Struthio camelus: one gene and its partner. The protein of the gene in region 1 interacts with the protein of each later gene in a biochemical or structural test. Links are inferred from orthologs where the notes say so. Each region holds a gene or a part of one and is shown on either strand. Other genes may lie near its edges.

Region 1 (10,114 bases):
TTTCAGAATAAGAACAAAATTTCAACTTTTTTTGGAGGAAAAAAAAACCTCTTCAATTTCTACAAGATACTCTCTAAGAGAAGATAGGCTAGCTTCTTTCTGAGGTGGAGCCAATGATCAACTCTTAACATATCCTGAGTTATGTTAACACGTCCAAACAAAGGCAGAAATCCCAGTGCAAAACTAGGACGCAAGGGAGCACTTGCTGAAACTGCTCTTCAGTTTCCACCACAAGAAAAATCTCTGTAGGTAAAACTGATGGGCTGTTTCAGTACTCCCGCACTCCTCAGCACAGAGGCAGAGAAAGGAAATGAGAGACGCATGGGTTGAGAAACGTAGCTTTCTATGATGATAATCTCAGATGATAGTCTTAGTGCTACACTGACTGACCACGCAAAGACGTAACATCCTGAATGACACAGGGCATGACCGAGGGATCAGAACAAAGCCTTGTGTAGCCCGAGTCTGACAAAAGCCACATGTTGCAACTAGCCAAGGAGTCCCCAAATTTGCAGGAGATTAGTGACGAATTGCAAAGGAAACCTTGTAGAGACCGACAGCCCATTACGCAATCAGGCATTTTGATTCCCTCAAGTTATAGGCAAGGCCAAAACACTCTATACCCGCAAGAATTTGGATAGCAACCAAATGCTGTCCCATTACGCTCACCAACATACTTGTCATTAACACATATAGGAAGTAGGTCCACTTTGAGGCTTACCAAGCTGTCATTTCTTGGAAAGAACATTCTTCCACAAACACACAGTAATTGTGTGTGCCACTTGGCAAGTTTGTTATTTTGGGATTTCCATATGAAAAAGGAAAATTGGAAGAAATACCAACTAAGCAAAAAGTAAAACCTTTCAAGCAGCAGCAGTCTGGAAGACAGAGAGTGAACGATCATGCCCACTGCATGCTAGATACACTTATATTCCCAGAAAAAAATTTAACCATGAATTAAAGTCACTACAGTGACAGAATCAGAATGGGAGCGTAAAGGAGCAAGGAGAGACGATCTCAGCTTAGATCCAAAGTACACCAATTGCTGTTTTCCTCAGCTTTTGTTATCGGCCACAAGGACTATTCTATACGGTGTAGAGTGATCTGATCTCTGTAGACTGTGTAGATAAAGTCCAGGAAGTCAAAGGCACTGACAAGAACATAGGGGCAAACAAAGAAGCAGGGAGAGTCTGCCCTACTGCTGTGTATGTTGAAGCCACTAGTGAATAGAGAACTTCAGCCTCCAGGGGCTGAATTTGCTTTGTGTATTTTATTTTTTTTTAAAATTATATCTCCTTGTGCAGAGAAAGTGCACAAACCTGTTAAATTTACAAAATTCATGAAGACATGGATAAAAAAATATGTTGGTATGTGGCTGGTCCGCATATGTCTGTCTCTGCTTGCTTTGCACACACCTATAGAAATTAAGACACCTGTTCACCCTTCCCAGCACTGAAAGAAACAAAAATAGGCACACACCTCGCAAGTCACAGCTCTACAGACAGTGGTCATTACAGGCTAAGACAAAGAAGAAAATGATTCTCTCCTGAAAGGACTACTGGGTTAGCAGGCAGGTCTTTAGGACCTCTGGGGCTACTTAGTCATTTTTCTTCCTGCCAAGAGGGAAGTTGCTATGACAAGGAAAGCAATCTTATGTAAGGAGAAGCCACAAAGACTGATTCAAACTTATAAAAGACAAGGCCAGGCGCAGAATCTCCTACTTAACAACACAATTGAGTGCTAGCTTTAGCTCAAGTATTACCTTTCAGTGCTTCAGAGAAACAGCGTGTCCTTAATGTGAGTCAATATAACACGTACTGTGAGAGCAAAGATTCTCACAAGTGACATTTGTAGAGTACAGCAGTTGTGGCTTACGGTGTTACCTCCAACCTCTTGCGCTAGAGGTTACATCCTCTTCACAAAGGCAACAGCACAACCACCCACGTGCCAGGCGCTCAGCCAGTGTGAAACACAGACCCTTACGTAAGTTAAGTAGCATCCATTTCAGTTTTAAAGTGGCTGCCTTAACTCACCACCCGGACTAAGGTGCGCAGCACTGCTAGTACAGCTTTGTGCTAGGGCTGGCAACTTTGGCAAGACAGATGGCTGGAAACAGGCAGGCCTTAAACTGCCGCTAGAAAAACCAAGTAGAGGCATCAGAGACTGCTGGTTTGTCAGCTCAGACTGGCATCTCTCTGGTGCACAGGCTGGTTGTACAGTAGACAGCGATTCAGGACTAGAGTCTCAAATGCAGCCTTTAACTCTCACCATGCCACAACCGAGCAATCTAGCACCATGGCAGAGTGACCTAGCACCATGACGGGACAAGCCAGTACCACGACTGGGCTATCTAATGCCACGATGGAGCAAGCTGGTGCCAAAACTGAGTAACCCAGCACCGTGATGAAGTGGCCTGCCGCCACATTGGAATGACCCAGCACCATGATGGTGTGACCCAACACCAGCTGGGCCATCTAACTCCACGAAGAGGCAACCCAGTGCCACAACAGAGTGACGTGGCACCATGACTGCACGACCTGGCACCATGACTATGCCAACTAATGCCATGATCAGGCAAACTAGCACCTCAGCACCAAAACCAGGCAACCTAGCACCGTGGTGGAGTGAGTCAGAGTCACAACGAAGTGACTTGCCGCCACAGCAGAGCGACCCAGCACCATGATGGAGAGACCCAGCACCAACTGGGCCACTTAAGGCCATGACCAGGCAACCTAGTGCTACAACAGAACAACCCAGCGCCACGACCGGGCCAACTAAGGCCATAACCAGGCAGCGCAGCAATACAACAGAGCAATCTGGCACCATGACCAGGTGACCCAGTGCCACAACGAGGCCAACTAATGCCATAACCAGGCAACGCAGCGACACAACGGAGCCATCTGGTGCCATGACCAGGTGACCCAGTGCCTCAACCAGGCTAACTGATGCCATGACCAGGCAATGCAGCAACACAACAGAGCGACCCGGCACCACAACCAGACTACCTAATGCCATGACCAGGCAACCCAGCACCACGAGGGAGTGACCCACTGCTGTGACCAGGTGTCCTAGTGCCACAACGGAGCTACCCAGCACCATGACTGGGCGACCCAGTGCCAGGACCAGGTGTCCTAGCACCACGCTAGAGCGATCTAGCGCCGACCGCTGAACAGCCTGACAGCAGGCAGCCCGAGCACTGAGTGACCCTTTCTGCTCCACAACGCCGAGCGCCTAGGGGCCACAGACAGCCCAGCACCGGGCAACCGAAGGCCCTGGCCCCGCGGCAGGGAGGCGTTCGAGGAGCACCGACCTCGCTGGTGAACATGGCGCAGAAGTAGTCGCTGCAGGCGGCCAGGACGATGCGGTGGGCCGGGAAATCCTTGTGCTCCACGCGCAGGGTGACATCGCAGAGCGTGTTGCTCTTCCGCAGGGCGTTCATGGCGTTGAGGATGGACTTGGCGTGCGAGTTGGTCATGATGTCCTTGGGGGGGGCCATGGCGCCCGGCACCTGCGGGCACAGCCAGCACGGCCACATGTCACGGCCAGGCCCGCCCGCCCGCCGCGCCGCCAGGGGGCGCCCTCCGGCCCGCGCCGCCGCCGCTCCTTCCCTTTCCTCTTCCCCTTCCCCGCCGCCCCCGCCCCGAGAGGCGCCCGCCGCGCCGGGCCCGCCGCGCCGGGGCGCCACCAGCCGCCGCCGCCGCCCCCCGGGGCCCGCCGCGCCCCGCACTCACCGCCGCGGGGAGAGGTCCCGGCTCCACGCACCGCGCCTCCCCCCCTCCCTCTCCCCGCCCGGCGCGCCCTGATGGCGTCATGGCCACCGCGCCACCCCGCCCCTCGGGTGCCTCCCGGTTGCCGGGCAACAGGCCTCCCTCCCGTTGCCTAGGGAGCGGGCTTGGCCCGGCCCCCCCCCCCCCCCCCCCCGCCGTCCCCGGGCTCCGCAGGGCGGACGGGCGGGACCCTCCCCCTCCCCCTCCCCCTCCCCCCCGCTGGGTCGGCGCCCTCCTCTTAGCCGGGCCTGGTGGCCTGGGCCATAACGGCCATAACGGCCCAGCGCCTCGGGCGCACCTGGGGGCTGCGAGCGGGGCAGGCTGCACGGCCAGCGCCGCAGCGAGGCTGTGTTTTGCTCAGGTTTTAGGAAGTTCCGAGTCAATTTGTAAAATTTACTTGACCTCTCCCTCTCTCGCTGCGGAGGGGCGTGGAGCCGCCGGCAGAGCTGTGGCAAAGCGCCCCACCGCAAGCAGGACACGCTGAGCGTCCCCTGTGTTGTGGCTCCTTGGAGATGAGTAACCTGGAACTGGCCATGCCGGTACGGCCAAAGCAGAAGTGAGGCCCCAGGAAACTGAGAGACTGATTTGAAATCATGAGATTTTTGAGTGCGTGCTGTTTTTCAAAGTCATCCTGCACAAGCAGCGCAGCGTCTCAGGCAGGTCCTTTCCAGCTAACTCTGGGTCTTCAGACATTTTTTGTCTTTTAAATAAGCAAAATATTTAAAAACGGGAAGGATGAATTAAAATGGTGGAAAAAAGCATCAACTTTGTTATTGTGTAAACAAAAGTAAGGTACATCCACAGGGCTCAGAAACAGTGTATAAATAAACCTACCACAGTAATGGAGATTCAGAAAAAACTAATATTTGTAGAGAGGTAGCTCGGAAAAGGAACATGACATCCTCCTCCGTTCTAATGTGGTTGCATCAAACAATAGTCATGCCACCTCAAACATACTGTAAGAATGCACCATGTTCTTGGAGATGTTCATATCTGGACAAGGCCCTAAGCAACCTAATGTAACACTGAAGCTGGCCCTGCTTTGAGTGGGGTTGGACGGTAAACCTCCAGAGGTCCTTTCCAGTCTAAATTATGGGCTGAGTCTATGTTAATGTCTGCAGAGCCAAATTCCCTGACTGTTCATGCTGTCCTGTCCTTGGAGTGTCCTCTGGGATTGCACGAAAGGGTCCCAACTGGTATGGCACAGGAGAGAAATTTGGAAGAACTTAATCTGTAGGCTTCGTTTTGGGTTACTCCCTCAGGCGCTCTGGCTAGCTCAAGCTGGAGGCTTTTTGCTCCTGGGACAGTGCCAGCCCAGTAAGTGAAAGGAGCAGGCATCTTGCCTACGTTGTGGCATGTTCAAAGAGGCACTCCGGTTGTGGCAGAATGTCAGGAGTGGGGCCTGACATTGAAATAACATAGGTGGTCTATGTGCCATAGCTTTTTGGGACAGATGGTAGTGAATTTCATGTGCTGCAGGCCTGTTCAGGTAAGTCATACGTTCTTCCACCCCTGTGCTAGAACATCAGGGAGGCAATTACCCAGTCGATGCACTGGATTGACTAGGGGCTGCACCTGTATGTGCTCACAAGAGCTGCAATAGGTCCTAGCTCAGTATCTCCTTTGCAAGCTGTTCTGGGAAAGGGGCTGCTACTCCACCACTCATGCTGTAAATTGAATCTAGTTTGCCCCAAAATTAATGTAGAGAGACTGTGTCTTCAGGTCACACAGGCTAGGTACACTGGGAAGAGATCCCCATGAAGCCCACATCTCCAAGCTGTACTCTAGCTTTTCTCCTCTCAAACATACTCTATCTTTCTCCTTAAAAAGGCAAGTTAGGCCCTTTCTCTAGAGATCAACAATTCAGAGCCCAAATTCCTGAGCCTGAGCCTTTACACTCACTGCTGCTTGAGAATCATGGTTGAAAATGTCTCCTGTTCCTTCCTTACTATTCTGTACCTCACAGTTTTCAGAGCTGTCCTTCACCATCAGAGTAATCTGAAAACAAATTACTTCCACAGTTGCTAGTGATCAGTGTGTTTTGCGGAAATGACTGATATGATTGAGACAAGCATTAAGTCCATCATGTTTATAGGGAGGCACAAGGATTTCAGGATACAGATACATGGAGTTTGGAAGAGTTGAGTGTACGTCAGTGACAGATAGGATAGGGGCATACCAGACATGTCTGCCCTCAAACACCTCAGGAGCTCACAGTGTCAATGTGAATCACAGGCACTAGTCTGTAGTGTCAGAAAAGAAAGGATATAAATACAAAATAGGTGTGCCCAGGATAGATCAACAAGAGATTTTGCCTAATGCAGGCAAAAATATCACAAACTATTTTTGACTTGTGAACAAAGTGATTTTGTTTGAAATACTTCTTAGTTAAAAAGAATATTTTGAGGACTTAAAATGCAACAGAATCAACGTAATTTAAACATTAATCTGGCATCTTTCATTGTTCACTCTAAGAGAAAAATATTTTACAATAAAGATTCTTTTTATTCCCCACATCCTCTCCGCTTTTGCATACCAGGCCTTTGAAAAATTAAATAAACCCCCAAATGCTGCATTTTTTATTTCTTAAGAGCTTCCATTTTTTTCTGGACTCTCATATCTTTGGTCCCCATGCTAGACACATTTTTCATGCTTACTCAGCACACAGAATCGTTTTATTGCTGTGGGAGGAAAAATGGTTTGGGAAAGGCTTATAAGAAAGGTTAGACCCGGGTTGACTGAGTCACTTGGGTCACATCTGACAAAAGCCATCACCAGACTGGGTACATCCTCTAACCAGCAAAGGCCAGAGCACTCAAAGTGCCTAGTGATTTCTGCTAGGCATTGCACTGAGCTGCTCATTTGATGACATGCGAGTCTGTTTTCAATTCTTGTGCTACAGTTTCTAGCAGAAAAAGTCAGTTATTGAATTTCAGCTCTCTTACAAGCCCTGGGTTAATATCATCTTCCTTCTTTTTTTCAGTCCAGTTGCCTGATGAATGTTCTTCAGTTGAAAGCTTTGAAGGAAGAGGCAATTTCTTATATCACAGCAACTGACATTCCTGGAAAAACAGGCCAGCTTTTGGACGCTCAAGCTCTCCTTCAAGCCTGGAGCAGAAGCAGGCCATGCCAGATTCTTCTTGAGCAGTGGTTTACCAGTTTGGGATGGGCAAGTTTATCGTGGCTGCAATCACGGAAGAACCAGACTCTTTGATCCTCCACTTCTTACATGTTGATTTACATTCTGGCTTTACTCCGGAGCAAGTCAACCAGATCCCCAGGGGAGAAACTCATGCTCATTGTGAGCGGAGTGGTGGGAAAGGGAACCAGGCTGGACTTCATCCTCAAGAGGCAGCAGGGATGTGACTATTACTGCTGTGGCCTATGTTTACCTGTAGCTCTCCCAAAATATACCAGAGTACTTTCTGATCTTCCCTTTTTGCTCTCTGTATTTCTACATGCCACTAAAAAAGTCTGTAAAGAAGACATGGCACATCCCCTCTCTGTTGCAGGGAAACAGTTCTGTCACCATATCTCATGTCTGGAAGAGCTAAGAGTCATCCAGCTGGTAAGATCTCAGTGCAGCATGGGTATGGAGCAGGCTGGGTACACCTGAGGGCAACGTAAGTATAAATTAAAAAAAAAAAAAACTCAAGAAGGTCAGTATCAGGTCTGCAACTGTCCTTCTTGGGCAGCATGCCTTTTCATGAAGGCTATGTGAAACCTTTGGAAGGGAGACTTCCAATGGTGGTATTTCACAAGTGTAGGGCCAGGGCAGCCCTAGGATGGGTAAGAAAGAGCCTCAGACATATGCCTTAATGACCATAGGTGTTTTAGTCTGTGGAGTCCAGGAGATGGGCCCACCTCTAGCCAGATGGAAGGTCTTTGTCAAGACTGGAACAATTTACATGGTCTGGACTTTTCAACCCCCAGAAGGAGCTGCTCAGGTCTGGGAATGGTGTTTATTGTGTGAGCACTAATAGTGTGAACAGGGAGGGCAGAGGGCAAGGATACCTGACTCAGCCTAGGGGACACATGATATCAGAGATGCTGACCACTGTCTGCAGCCTGGAGAAGGAAATCAGAAGCATGCACTGCCTCTGGCTGGGCAGAGATCCCTGCCCTGTCATCTCAGACCTTTGCCTTCTCTTGTCAGAGAATCAGAAATTCTGGCAAGGCACAAGTGGGGGACACTTCTCTTGTTAGAAGGCGCAACCATGCAAGACTTTCTGGAATTTCAGTCTAGCAACAAAATGTATCAGAAGCTGAGCCACTGCTGGTCAACTGGGTCACGATCAGGTGTATCTCCAAGAGAGGTTACACCTGTCCCATTGTGGCTGTCCCTGTCCCACACCTTCCTTTGCTGACATTTTTTACTGTAGGTAATTGAGAGTTGGCGGGGAGTCTGCACTGGCCTAGCTCACTTTCTGAAAGACTATCACAGATGATGTGTTACCAGTCTGGGATTGTTGCAGTATGTAAGCATGGAAAGATTCATAGCAGATGCAATTTCATTTCTGATGCCCTGCAAGGTGCTGTTATCTTACTCTGTCTGCAATATGGGCGTGCCAGCCCTTGCCCTGAAATTGTAGTCAGTGGTGGAAATCCTATGATTACATCTGTCTTCTCTTTGCTCTTCATGGCATAAGACTGTGGCTGTGGTCCAATGAATATAGGCTTAACAGTGAAAATGCTCCCAAATCCAGCACCATTTGGACAGTTTAAATCAAGGCTCTAATCCTCCCCCAAGACACCATCACATAACCATTATGTCTCAAAGAAATGCCTATTGTAAAATTACTCCACCTTCGTCATGGAGCCATTGTGAAAACCCACTGAAGGAGGCCAAAAATACTGCCAAGGAGCTATCAAGAATAAACACTAACCCCCACAAAGGAACCATTGTGAATAGGACTGTAAAAAATGGAGGGATTGTTGAATAAATCCCTTCAAAGTCCCTCATGAGAATGCTCCAAAAATCACACAAAATATTTTTAATGTTGGTTTCTTTACATGTGGGATTTTTTGGTTGCTTTTTATGGTCCTTTTAATGGGGTGTTTATGGCTATGCTTCGGCATTATAGAACACTTCCAAAATGGCTTCTGTGGTAGTATCTGGGGCAATTTTAGAATTATGAAGATGTTCACAGTAAACCAGTATTGTTGATCTCTAGCACAGCTTCACCACTGCCTTGAGGATTTTTCACAATTGTTTCATCAGTAGTGCCCTATAGGCATTTTCTAAATGCCCCTTTGATGAGGCCACAGAGGAATTTGATAAATTGCTTATGGTGGGGCCTTAAATCCATGTATTTTCAAAATTGCCTTTGTCTGTGATTTCTGGTGTGCTGGGTACATAGTTCAAAGGCTTTGTTCCAGCTTTCTGGTGAGTCCCAGAATGGTTCATAGATTTTGAATGATTTTTCAAACTATTCTTGCCTCTGCCCCTTAGATGAAGTCTTTGATACACTTTAAAATGTCTTTTGGATACAAGGGGACTTAAAATGGTTCCAGAATGGGGGAGTGTCTTCAGGAATACTGTAAGAAATGTCTCACGAGTGTAATATAAGAAGCATTTGAAAAAGCATCTGATGACATCTTATGCTCATCTTCAAAATGGCATGTGTCTCTGGGGAATGATTTAGGTGTTTATGGGATGTGATCTGTCAGGTACTTTCAGAATGGTCAACGAGTCCATATGCTAATGAGGACAGGATCTTCTACAAACATTGTAAAGATGATATAATGATATGTTATAAGGATCCACAGTGAGATGCATTACTGCAGAAGTGTCCGCACACCACGAGAGGGCAGAGTAGCTCCAGGTCTGCTCTAGCAATTCTACGAAGAAAGGATTTTCCCAGCTTTTCTTCCGTAAAAACTATACAAGCTGTGTGTGGGTGTTTGTGTGTGTACGTGTGTGTGTGCGCGCGCGCGCGCGCATGTGTGTGTGTGTGTGATGGTGGCTGGAAGGAGTCTCAGTATTCTCCAGAAGTACCCGTGCAGAAAAGGAGCTAATATTCTCTCTTTGCTGTCCACTTACCCAGACATCCAAGCAGGGCCAAAATCTCAGTATTTTTGTGTTGTGTCCAATACAATATGAAGGCCCAGAGTCCCTAAGATTTTGCTCTAGCAATTCAATATTAACTCGCAGGGTTGGCTTATCTTGTTACTACTACTGAAACCCTGGATTGGATTATAGGATCATAGGATAATTCAGGTTGAAAAGGACCTCAAGACGTCTCTAGTCCAACCTCCTACACCAAGCAGGGTCAGCTACAAAGTCAAATCATGTTACTTAGTACTTTATCCAGTCTGGATCTGAAACATCAAAGGAAGTGTCACTG
Region 2 (9,776 bases), on another chromosome or scaffold:
GTTAGGCTGGCTCTTTCAGAAGTATGACAGGACAACATGTGTCAACAACGGTTGCTAACGCACTGGAATAAGCTTTCTTAACAACTAGAAATAGCAGCCAAGATCAAGGCCTCTCCCACTGTGCTTGGGCTTTTGTGAACAGCAGCAAGAGATAATCCACATCTCACAGGAGGGAAACCTGGCCCCATGGAAGCCCGTGGGAGATCTGTCGTTTTGTAGGGATGTCAGATGTCACATCTCAAATTTAAATCCCTCTAGCTGTCTTCTAAAGCCCTGATTGGGAGGGACAATTCTAGAAATCTGACGCAAGAAGTCATCTTACAGGGGAAAAGCACAAAGTGACCAAGCTTTTCCTGCTGAATGAAAGAAGTAGTCATACTTTATGGTTCTGGGTAAAAGTCCACTTTTACTCTGTCAGGAGTGGCATTAAAAAGAAAGAAAGAGAGAGAGAAGAGAGGAAAAAACCCAAATGTTAAACAGTCAGGAGCTGCCTCTTGACTGTCCAGGCCACATTTGGAGTGGCTAGATGTGCAGAGTGCACGTTGAAACCAAGCTACTTTTAAATAGCAGTGGTCCCTATACCTTATGACCCTTGTCCTGCCTGCCAAGGTCACTTTTCCTTTCCTCGTTAACAACTAGATGATCTGCCTCTGTCCCAGCCTTCAGGACAAGGGATGCATTTGCATTTATGCATGCAGATTGAGCATCTGATTCTGATCTCCAGCTTTCACTTTTTTCCTTCCTCTTAGAGAAAACCAGAAAAATTCTGTCCACTGGCACTGACTCAATGGCCACTCTGACCTTTTCTTAGTATATTTCACAACGAAGCGAGCTGCAAATCCCCCACCAATATATAGGAGATTATTAAGAATAAGCCCTGAGCCCACAGAGAAATTGCAAAGCAGGAAACTAGTGTTTCAACACTGACAAACGGCCTACGCTGCCCTGTATTTCCAAACCCCATTGCCTGCTCGAGGAGCTTATGCTTGCTATACATTGCTGCCCTTCGCTCCCTGCCCATATAGTACCTTCCGCAGTCAGTCTGTGAGGTGATCTGAAGTGGCTACCAGACGAGTGCAGATCCTGGTGCGTGCTGCCTTTCACAAGGTCTCTTATTATAACTGCCTTGTTGCAGGAGCCGCAAGACTCAGAGGGAAGGACAGTTCTGCCATATGCCTCCTCCGTTCCCTGTTGTTTAATATCCTGGGTGCAGAGACACTGAAGAATTAAGCCCCATAACTGATGTTTCTGAACAGCTACGGAAATGAACACACTTCAAGGATCATTCACAGCTCAAGCACAGGCTGGGCAGCCCAGGTTTTTAAAGCTTAGGTGGGGTCGAACACCCGGTATCTGAGAATCCAGCATTTGTGGGATGTTCTGTGATACCCAAGGAAACCTCCAAAATGCTCGTGCCCAACTGGAAGCATTTTCAGAGGTATCCCCCCCAAGGACACTAACCAGCGTTTTACATATGCCAGCAAGATCTGGGCCTGCAGGCCAGAGGAAACCACACTGCTATGAGTACCTGCCCACGGAGTCAGAGACAGGAGGCATGGAGAGACAACAGAAGGAGCAAGGGGAAGAAAAAGGGAATTGCAATTAGCAAGAAGTAGCTGAGAAGAATGGTGGAGAAAGAGGGGTTCTGGCTTTCTAACCCCAGAACTGAGACAAGGGACCACCCAAAAGAAGTAACATGGAGGGGGGGGGCTGTCAGTGGGGGGAAGAGAGAGGGGAATCTGTCGCTCCTGTTCTTCACTGGTTCTTCTTATGGCTCCCCAGCAGAGCCTGTCCCTCTAGAAAACCTTTGTCTTCAGAGAGGTCACAATGTCCTAAGAAATCCTAGGACCATGTAGAGAGGCTAAAAGCATCCTAAGCTCTAATCCGCAGACTACCTTGCTTAAGAAAATTTAGGCCCGACCTGATCAGGTGCTGAATGGCAGCCCTGGCATGGGAGAGAAGGGGAAATGCTATGGCTTGAACACTTCTGGTATGCTGTTGTTTTAGCCTGGCCCCAGTGTCAACAGTGGGAAACCACTCTGCTGGGGAATGGGGACAGCCCCTTTCATTCCCTGAGAAAGTACTTAAGCAACCAGCTTACAAACAATGTGGCTGTGGCCAAATACAAGGTCGGAAAGTCTGGCTGAACTGCCTCTCTGAGCCCCCAGGCTACAGCTCAGACTCTGCACCAGAGAAAATCCTGGCTCTCCCCCCCCCCCCCCCCCCCAATCTGGAAAGAAAAAAGAGGACTCCTTTTTCTTCCACACTACCAGCTACCCCAGAAGAGAGGGGCAAAAAAATGCTATTTTGGCCCATAGGGACTTTCATCCGCTCACCTCTGGGGAGAGGTAGGGCTGCAGTGAGAGCAAGGAAAGAGCCACAGGCTAGTACTAACAGGCAGCCACTAGCGATCCTCCCCACCCCGATCCAACAAATCCCTCTGCAATCTCAAGGCGTTATCAATCCTCCTCCTCCGGCAGTAAAAATGTATCTCCCTTTCACAGCGGAGAAAAGAGAGGCAGAGAGACATGCAAAACCACTCAACCTCAGGAGAACTTGAACTGCACATCTCTGCCTCAGCTATAGCAGTTTCTGGGGTGGAGAGAAGGCCTGTCCCAAAGTCCACAGTGCCTCTGCACAGCCACCTGCGTACATGGGGTCAGGACTGGACAAAGGAGAGCACATCCAGCCAGCAGGAGCCCTGCAGCAAGCAGACCAAAGGAAGGAGACAAGGTGTTCTCCTTCAAAGGAGAACACCGACTAGCTCCCTAAAAAAGCAATTTCTCCTCCTCAACCTGGCATGGCAACCTGCTTCCTAGCTAAAGAGCTCCCTTATCCCCAAAAGCCGAGCACCTCATACCAGACAGAGCAGAGCACGGGAGCTCTCTCACCCCTTCCTAACCATTTGCTGACTGGCAACCAGTTCTCCAGCCTGGGACCTGTCCAAGGACTCCCTGGAGCTGCTCACCCGACCCAGAAGATTCCTCTTTCTGCTTCTCCACCTCGGCGGTCGTGTGTCGGCATCACGGCTCGCCTCGGAGAAGGACAGGAGGAAGCCCCCTTACCCACGGACACGGGGACCACACAGCGCTGCGATCGCGGGAACAAGAACTTCTGCCAACCCGCTTTTTGCCCCCACCGCTAATTGTCCTTCAGAGTTTTTTCCACCGCAGATGAGCAGCGATGGCATGAGGAAAAAAAAAAGGGGGGGGGGGGAGCCGCAGTGGTTTGAAAGCAACATTCCTGCAGGGGAGGAGGAGGAAGAAGCAGGAGGGCAGGGGCAGGGGCTGCAGCAAGGGAGGTGGGCAGCGGCGCCGCTGGGATTTCCAAGCCGCAGGTGGGGGAAATAAACCAGGGGAAGCTTTTTAAACCCTCGGTATATTTGGTCTCTCGTGGATCCCCCCTCCCCCCAACACACACACACAGAGCCCTGTAACTTTCAGGAGCTCCGGGCACGAAAGCCGCCGAGGCAGGACCCTCTTAAAAAGCCTGAGTGCGACGGGGGCACCCCGCTGTCCCCCGTCCCATCACACACACACACGCACACACACAAGCCCCGGGCCCGCCGGCGGTGGCCTCACCTCGGAGTAGACGTAGAGGGGCAGGACGAGGACGGCGAGCAGCAGGTCGGCCACGGCGAGGCTGACGATGAAGTAGTTGGTGGTGGTCTTCAGCGCCCGCTCCGTGCAGACGCTGAGGCACACCAGCGCGTTGCCGCCCACGATGAGCAGGATGAGGACGATGCCCAGCACCAGGGCGGCGACGTTGTGGCCCGCCGCCGCCGGCGGTGGTGGCGGCGGTGGCGGCGCGCTGCCGTTCCCCATGGCACCCGGTGCATGGGACCCACCCCCCCAAAAAACCTCCCCCCCCTCCGCCGCCGGTCCCCGCCGCACCCCGCTCAGCTCCCGCCGCCGCGGGGCTCGGCGCCGCCGCCGGCCATGCCCGGCCCCGCGGCCAGGCGAGGCGAGGCTCCCACGCCCGCACGGCCCGGCCCGGCCCGGCCCCGAAGTTGGCCGGTGGGGAGGAGCCTCCGCTGCCCGCCCCGCCGGCCTCGGGCTGCCCGGCCCCCGCGGCACCAAGTGGGTCACCACCGCCCACCGGCGAGCGGCTTAGGGGGCGGCGGCTGCGGCGGGGGGACCCTCGCCCGCCCCCGGCGACGTCGGGCAGAGCGGCCCGGTGCCCCCCGCTCGGCGCCTCCGGGTCGCGGCGGGGCGATGCTGGAGCTCGGCCGCGGCGAGCAGCTCAGCTTGCCGCGGTGGACGGAGGCTGCTGCCCCAAGCCCCTTGTTGGCAAGCTCTCCAGGGTCACCAAACGCTCCTTGTCTCCAAGCTCTCCATGTCACCAAGCTCGTCTTGTCATCAAGCCCTCCCTGTCTCCAAGCTCTCCAGCGTCACCAAACTCTCCTTGTGCCCAAGCTCTCTCCCTGTCATCAAATGCTCCCTGTCACCAAGCTCTCCAGCGTCACCAAATGCTCATCTTGTCACCACGTTCTCACTCTCACCAAGATCTCCATCGCCAAACTCTCCTTGTCTCCAAGCTCTCCCTGGCATCAAACGCTCCCTGTCACCAAGCTCTCCAAAGTCACCAAATGCTCATCTTGTCACCAAACTCTCCTTGTGCCCAAGCTCTCTCCCTGGCATCAAACGCTCCCTGTCACCAAGCTCTCCAATGTCACCAAATGCTCATCTTGTCACCAAACGCTCCTTGTCCCCAAGCTCTCTCCCTGTCATCAAACGCTCCCTGTCACCAAGCTCTCCAATGTCATCAAATGCTCGTCTTGTCACCAAGCTCTCCCTGTCACCAAGCTCTCACTCTCACCAAGCTCTCCATCACCAAACTCTCCTTGTCACCAAGCTTGTCTTGTTGCCACACTCTCCAACGCCACCAAGCTCTCCCTGTCATCACCCTCTTCTTGTGACCAAGCTCATCTTGTCACCAAGCCCTTCCCATAGCCAAGGCGTGTAGCATCAGTCCAGTGCTTTGCTGAAAAAGTCAGGAATTAATGCATTGCTCTTCTGCCCAAGGGATTTGGTCACTTCCTCCATCGCCAGTGGCAAACACCTGTTCTCAGAGGCCCAATGATGCTTTTTGAGCAGGAGATAGAGAAGAAGGACAATTCTGCATGGTGCTCTGACAAGGTGAAATTTCTCTTTGATTAGCTACCATGGTCCAAGTACAAGAGCAAGGAATTAGTGTTCAGTATTCAGTGCTTCCCACCCCAAGCAGCCTTGTGTCACAATATATCACTTGCTCCGTGAGTGGTAACAAAACAAGACATCTGTCTTCGCATGAAAGGAGATGGAGCACCATGTCTCAGTTAAACAGTAAGTGGGAGCAAGAGTAAAGCATGAATGGCTGTGCTGCCATCCAGGGGGACCTTGACAGGCTGGAGAGATGGGCAGAGAGGAACCTCATGAAATTCAATAACAGGATGTGCAGAGTCCTGCACCTGGGGAGGAATAAACCCATGCACCAGCCTGTACTGGTGCATAGAAAGCAGCTGGAGAGCAGGTGTGCAGAGAAGGAGCTGGGAGGCCTGGTTGGAGAACAAGCTGACCGTGAGCCAGCACTGTGGCCCGATGGCCAAGAAGGCCAACAGTGTGCGGGGCTGCATTAGGCAAAGCATTGGCAGCAGGTCAAGGGAGGTTTCCCCTCAACTCATCCCTGGGGAGGCCCCGTGTGGGCTGCTGTGTGCAGTTCTGGGCTGCCCAATACAAGAGAGACATGGAGCTACTGGAGTGAATCCAGTGAAGGTCTACCAAGAAGCTGAAGGGACGGGAGCATCTGTCATGCAAGGAAAGGCTGAGAGAGGTGGGGCTGTTCAGTGTGGAGAAGAGAAGAGTGAGGGGGGATCTTATAGGTGGGTATGAATATCGGAAGGGAAGGTGTGAAGAGGATGGGGCCAGACTCTTGTCAGAGGCACCCACTGATAGGGTGAGAGGCAATGGGCACAAACTGAAAGGGAGGAAGTTCTGTCTGGAGATGAGGAAAAACTTTTTTACAGTGAAAAACATTTTTACTGAAAAACTTTTAAAACTTTTTTTACTGTGACTGAGCACTGGAGCAGGTTGCCCAGAGAGGCTGTGGAGTCTCCATCCTTGGAGATATTCAAAAGTCGTCTGGATAGGGACCTGGGCAACATGCTTTAGGTGACCTTGCAGGAGCAGCAGGGTTGGACTCAGTGATTCCAGAGGTCACTTCCAACCTCAACCATTCTGTGATTCTGATATGGACCCCCCATCTGTATTTTTTTTTTAACTCATACATCTCAACAGAGTGAATTAGCATCAGCTTGGTGGTTTGTTTCACCTGATCACAGCTTTTCTGGTGTAGTGGTCAGTCCCCAAAAACCTGACTGCCCACGCACCCGCTGCTGCAACAGCTTTTGGTTAATGGAGAGCTGCTCCAGTGGAACCACTTTTTACTATAACCCTTTTACTCAAAGAAATCAACTCAAATTAGCTAAAGGAGGGACTTGAGGTGAATTAATTAAACTGCACTGGAAGCCTATATGGACAGAGCATACATAATTTATTTATGTTTAATTAATCCAAGCAGCAAAGGGATCAGGACTGAGTTGTGACCACAGGCCTTCTACCTTCTCACAGGGATTAATGCCATTCATCTAATCCACTTTAATAGTTAATTTGTATTAATTAATTATCTTGATTTTCCCCATCGGTTAGTGCCGAATGGCTCTTAACTCTCATTGTGGAAGCTCTCATTCCAGACTAACTATGCTTTAATCCTAAACCAGTTTAATCCTGGAATAGATTAAACTAATGTGAAATAAGGCTTTTGACTTCCAGAAAAGAGCAGCCATGCGATGCACTAATTAGGACAGCTCTTCTACCACAAACTCACTGTAATCTCTGCTCTTTCTGGTTCCTCTGTGCCTGCTTGCCACCGCTCTGCCCATACTGCACCCTCGTTCCTTGGTGGATACTGCCATAAACCACATCCTGCCAGGCCGGCTCTGGGAAAGCTGACATGTGCTGACTGACTTCAGTCACTTTTCTGTTTGACAGCATCTCCAGGGGAGCAACGAAGCACCCTCTTTTCCATTAGCAGGTCAGAGCCTCAGACCACATTGCTCCCTCCTAGGATAAGAGGGTCTATCCTCCTAGGATAAGAGAAGGAAGGTAATGCCTCGCCATATCCACAGAAGTCACCCCATGTGGCTGTGAAAAAAAAAGGGAGGGTGATAAGGGACAGAGCCATTTGTCACCTCCGCAGAAAGGAGGGAGCATTACGTGCCAGGGCTGGAGTGTTTGAACGATGGTCAGCGAGTGTTTAGGAGCTCCTGTGGAGAGCGTCTGATGTGGTCTTTGGCCTTGAACAACCCTTTTTTGCTCGGATGCGCAGGCTGCAAAGGATCCTGCTTCACCTGTCGCAGTGTCACAGGCTGGTGGCTTAGGGCAGTGAGATGGAGAGGCGCTGAAAGGTACCCACAGCTGCTTCTCTCAGCAGAAAAAAATGTTTTATTCTGTCCTCGGCTGGTGCTGCGAAGCATACAGAAGGGTGAACAGCAGCACCTTCTGCCAGCAGGGACACCCCAGCCTCATAGAAGACTATGCCTCAGTTTCCCTCCTTGAAATCTGGCAAACTGGTTGCCCAGCCACTGCATCAATGAGACATCTCTTGCATCAGGGATACAGTCTGGTCAAATATGGGAAAATGAGGCTCTGGTACCCAGGACCTCTGCTCAAGTGGGCTGTGGGCGTCCCACTTCTCCAGCCCAGCCCTGCCTGTAGCTAGCTCTTCAGCTTGATATCTCCCCGTTTCACCAGTGGGAACCAGTAGCTTAGCCAATAACTTACTGTAGGGGGAGCAGCACCCCAGGACAGGCCTTTCCTTTTGCCAGCCACCCACAAATTCGTGCTGCCTCAGCCCCAGCTCACGGCAGCATGGGCAAAGCACCCATTTCTGATGCAAACTGACCAAACAGAGTAACCTGAGTTTCCCTGGCAATCGTTCACAACCAGTATCCCCCCAGCTGGTTTGCTAGCCTGCCTGGGGTGGGCCCTGGCCTCATCCATCCGCGGGATCCCAGCCACCAGCTTAGGAGCCGCAAGGTGTCCCCCAAGACTCAGCTGGGATGAGTTAACAGAGTGTTTGGTGGTGAGCCAATTCAGAGGACTGGAAGGTCGCAAAGTGAGACATCTGTCAGTGTCTCCCAAAAGACACAGAACTTTTATCATTACAGTTTTTCTGTGCTTGAAGCACTGAATTTTTAAATAGGAGAGGAGAACAAAATTACCTGCCAATGCTTCAGCACAGATGTGCCTAAACTCAACTGTTGAATAGTGTCCTGATAGCTGGGTGAAAGATCACTATCTTCAGGTTCAGAACAAAGGGAGGTACATAAAGAGCTTTTAAAGCCAATCCTGCTCCTTTTATTTGACACACTTAGCTGAGCAATTCTCTGTGAACGTATCATCCGAAGCCATCCTGCTTTACAATCTGCCTGTAATACATTTCCAAGAAAAGGCATAGAGGCAGCGTCCTGCCTTTCAGGTTAACCTTTGCAAGGGAGGGAAGAGGGTGGCAGGACTCTCTCTTGGCTTTCCAGGCTCTCTGAGTCCCCCCTGCAAGACGCTGCCTGAATAGATCTTTTCACATTTAAAATCCTGGTAAGTTAAGATAAATCCAAGAAAGAAGTGAAACTCATGCATAAGTAATGATGATTAGCTATGGGAATGAAACTACAGAGAAGCAAGGGTGGATTTACTGTCTCTGGTAGTTTATAATCAAAACTGGATGGTTTTGGGGATGCCTGGCTTTAGACTTACCCACATAATTGATCTCACACAGGGGTGATCGGGTGGGCTTGCGCCACAGGCAAGAGCACACAGAAACACTTTAAGGGTCCCTCTTGGTTTTAAAACATCAATGAGCTTGTTGGATCCACTTGTTAAGAAAAACTCCTGGGGAGGAGGAGACGCAATGCATGCAGAGGGGCACGCTGGAAGCTCTGAGCGGCTGCGAGCAGCAAATGCCTGCAAACTCATCTCCGGCTAGGCTCCTCTTCGCAAAGCCTGTTGTCAGTCACCCAGAAGGGATGTCCTTTCAGGTGCCTGGCACGGTTGGTAGAGGGACGCAGCCCAAATTAAGCCCATGGGGCTGCGTAGCTGCCAGGTCTGTTGCTGGCACTGCGCACCTGGAACAGCCGGGCCAGGCCCAACTACCAGCCAGCATGCAGAGCATGTCCACTTTATAATTAAAATTAATTCCCCAAAGTGCTTTCTGCTCTTCCCCAGATGCGTCAAACAGCTGGAGGCTGAGATTACGGCCGCTGATGCCAATTAGGGCTGCAATAAGGCCGGGCACGTGGGGAGCGCTAGCGCCCAGCTCTGCCGTGGGCAGGCAGTGCTGGGCACGCCTCTGCGTTGAGGCATGAGGCCCTTTCCGGCTGGGAAGATGTCACCCAGAGCAGCCTCTGAGGTGGTATGTGTTGTGCCAACCCTGCATCCCACACCCTGGAGATTGCTTGGGCACGAGCAGAGCACGGGCACTTTGGCAGCCCCCAAAGAAGATTTGTATGAAGGCCCAAAAGACCCAGCAGGTGATGGCCATGGGGGATGCAGCTTGTCTTTGCAGGCCTTCACAAAACCTTTTGTGCTTCCTTGGTGATGGAGAGACCTCCCCAGCAGGGCAGGAAGTCAGAGTTCCCCTCTGCTCCGGAAAACTAAATGTGTCTGGAGCCTGTCTTTTGCTTTTTTGGGTGCTGCCCATGGGAAAAACCAGCCTTTGCTCTCCTCTCCTGTGTCAGCTAC

Evidence for each region. The genes of interacting proteins can lie anywhere in the genome.
Region 2: of the proteins of KLHL12 (region 1) and DRD4, one has a biochemical effect on the other in vitro, tested with the Homo sapiens proteins (2 studies listed by BioGRID, with this or other methods). The link is inferred for Struthio camelus from reciprocal best matches to the Homo sapiens genes KLHL12 and DRD4.

The regions. Positions count from the first base shown.
Region 1 is NC_090965.1:2,851,359-2,861,472, reverse strand, and holds the start of KLHL12 (kelch-like protein 12), read right to left. Parts: upstream 3,824-10,114; 5' UTR 3,813-3,823; coding exon 3,732-3,812; intron 3,509-3,731; coding exon 3,311-3,508; intron 1-3,310. UniProt on the Homo sapiens protein: Substrate-specific adapter of a BCR (BTB-CUL3-RBX1) E3 ubiquitin ligase complex that acts as a negative regulator of Wnt signaling pathway and ER-Golgi transport.
Region 2 is NC_090946.1:5,166,446-5,176,221, reverse strand, and holds the start of DRD4 (D(4) dopamine receptor), read right to left. Parts: upstream 3,825-9,776; coding exon 3,582-3,824; intron 1-3,581. UniProt on the Homo sapiens protein: Dopamine receptor responsible for neuronal signaling in the mesolimbic system of the brain, an area of the brain that regulates emotion and complex behavior.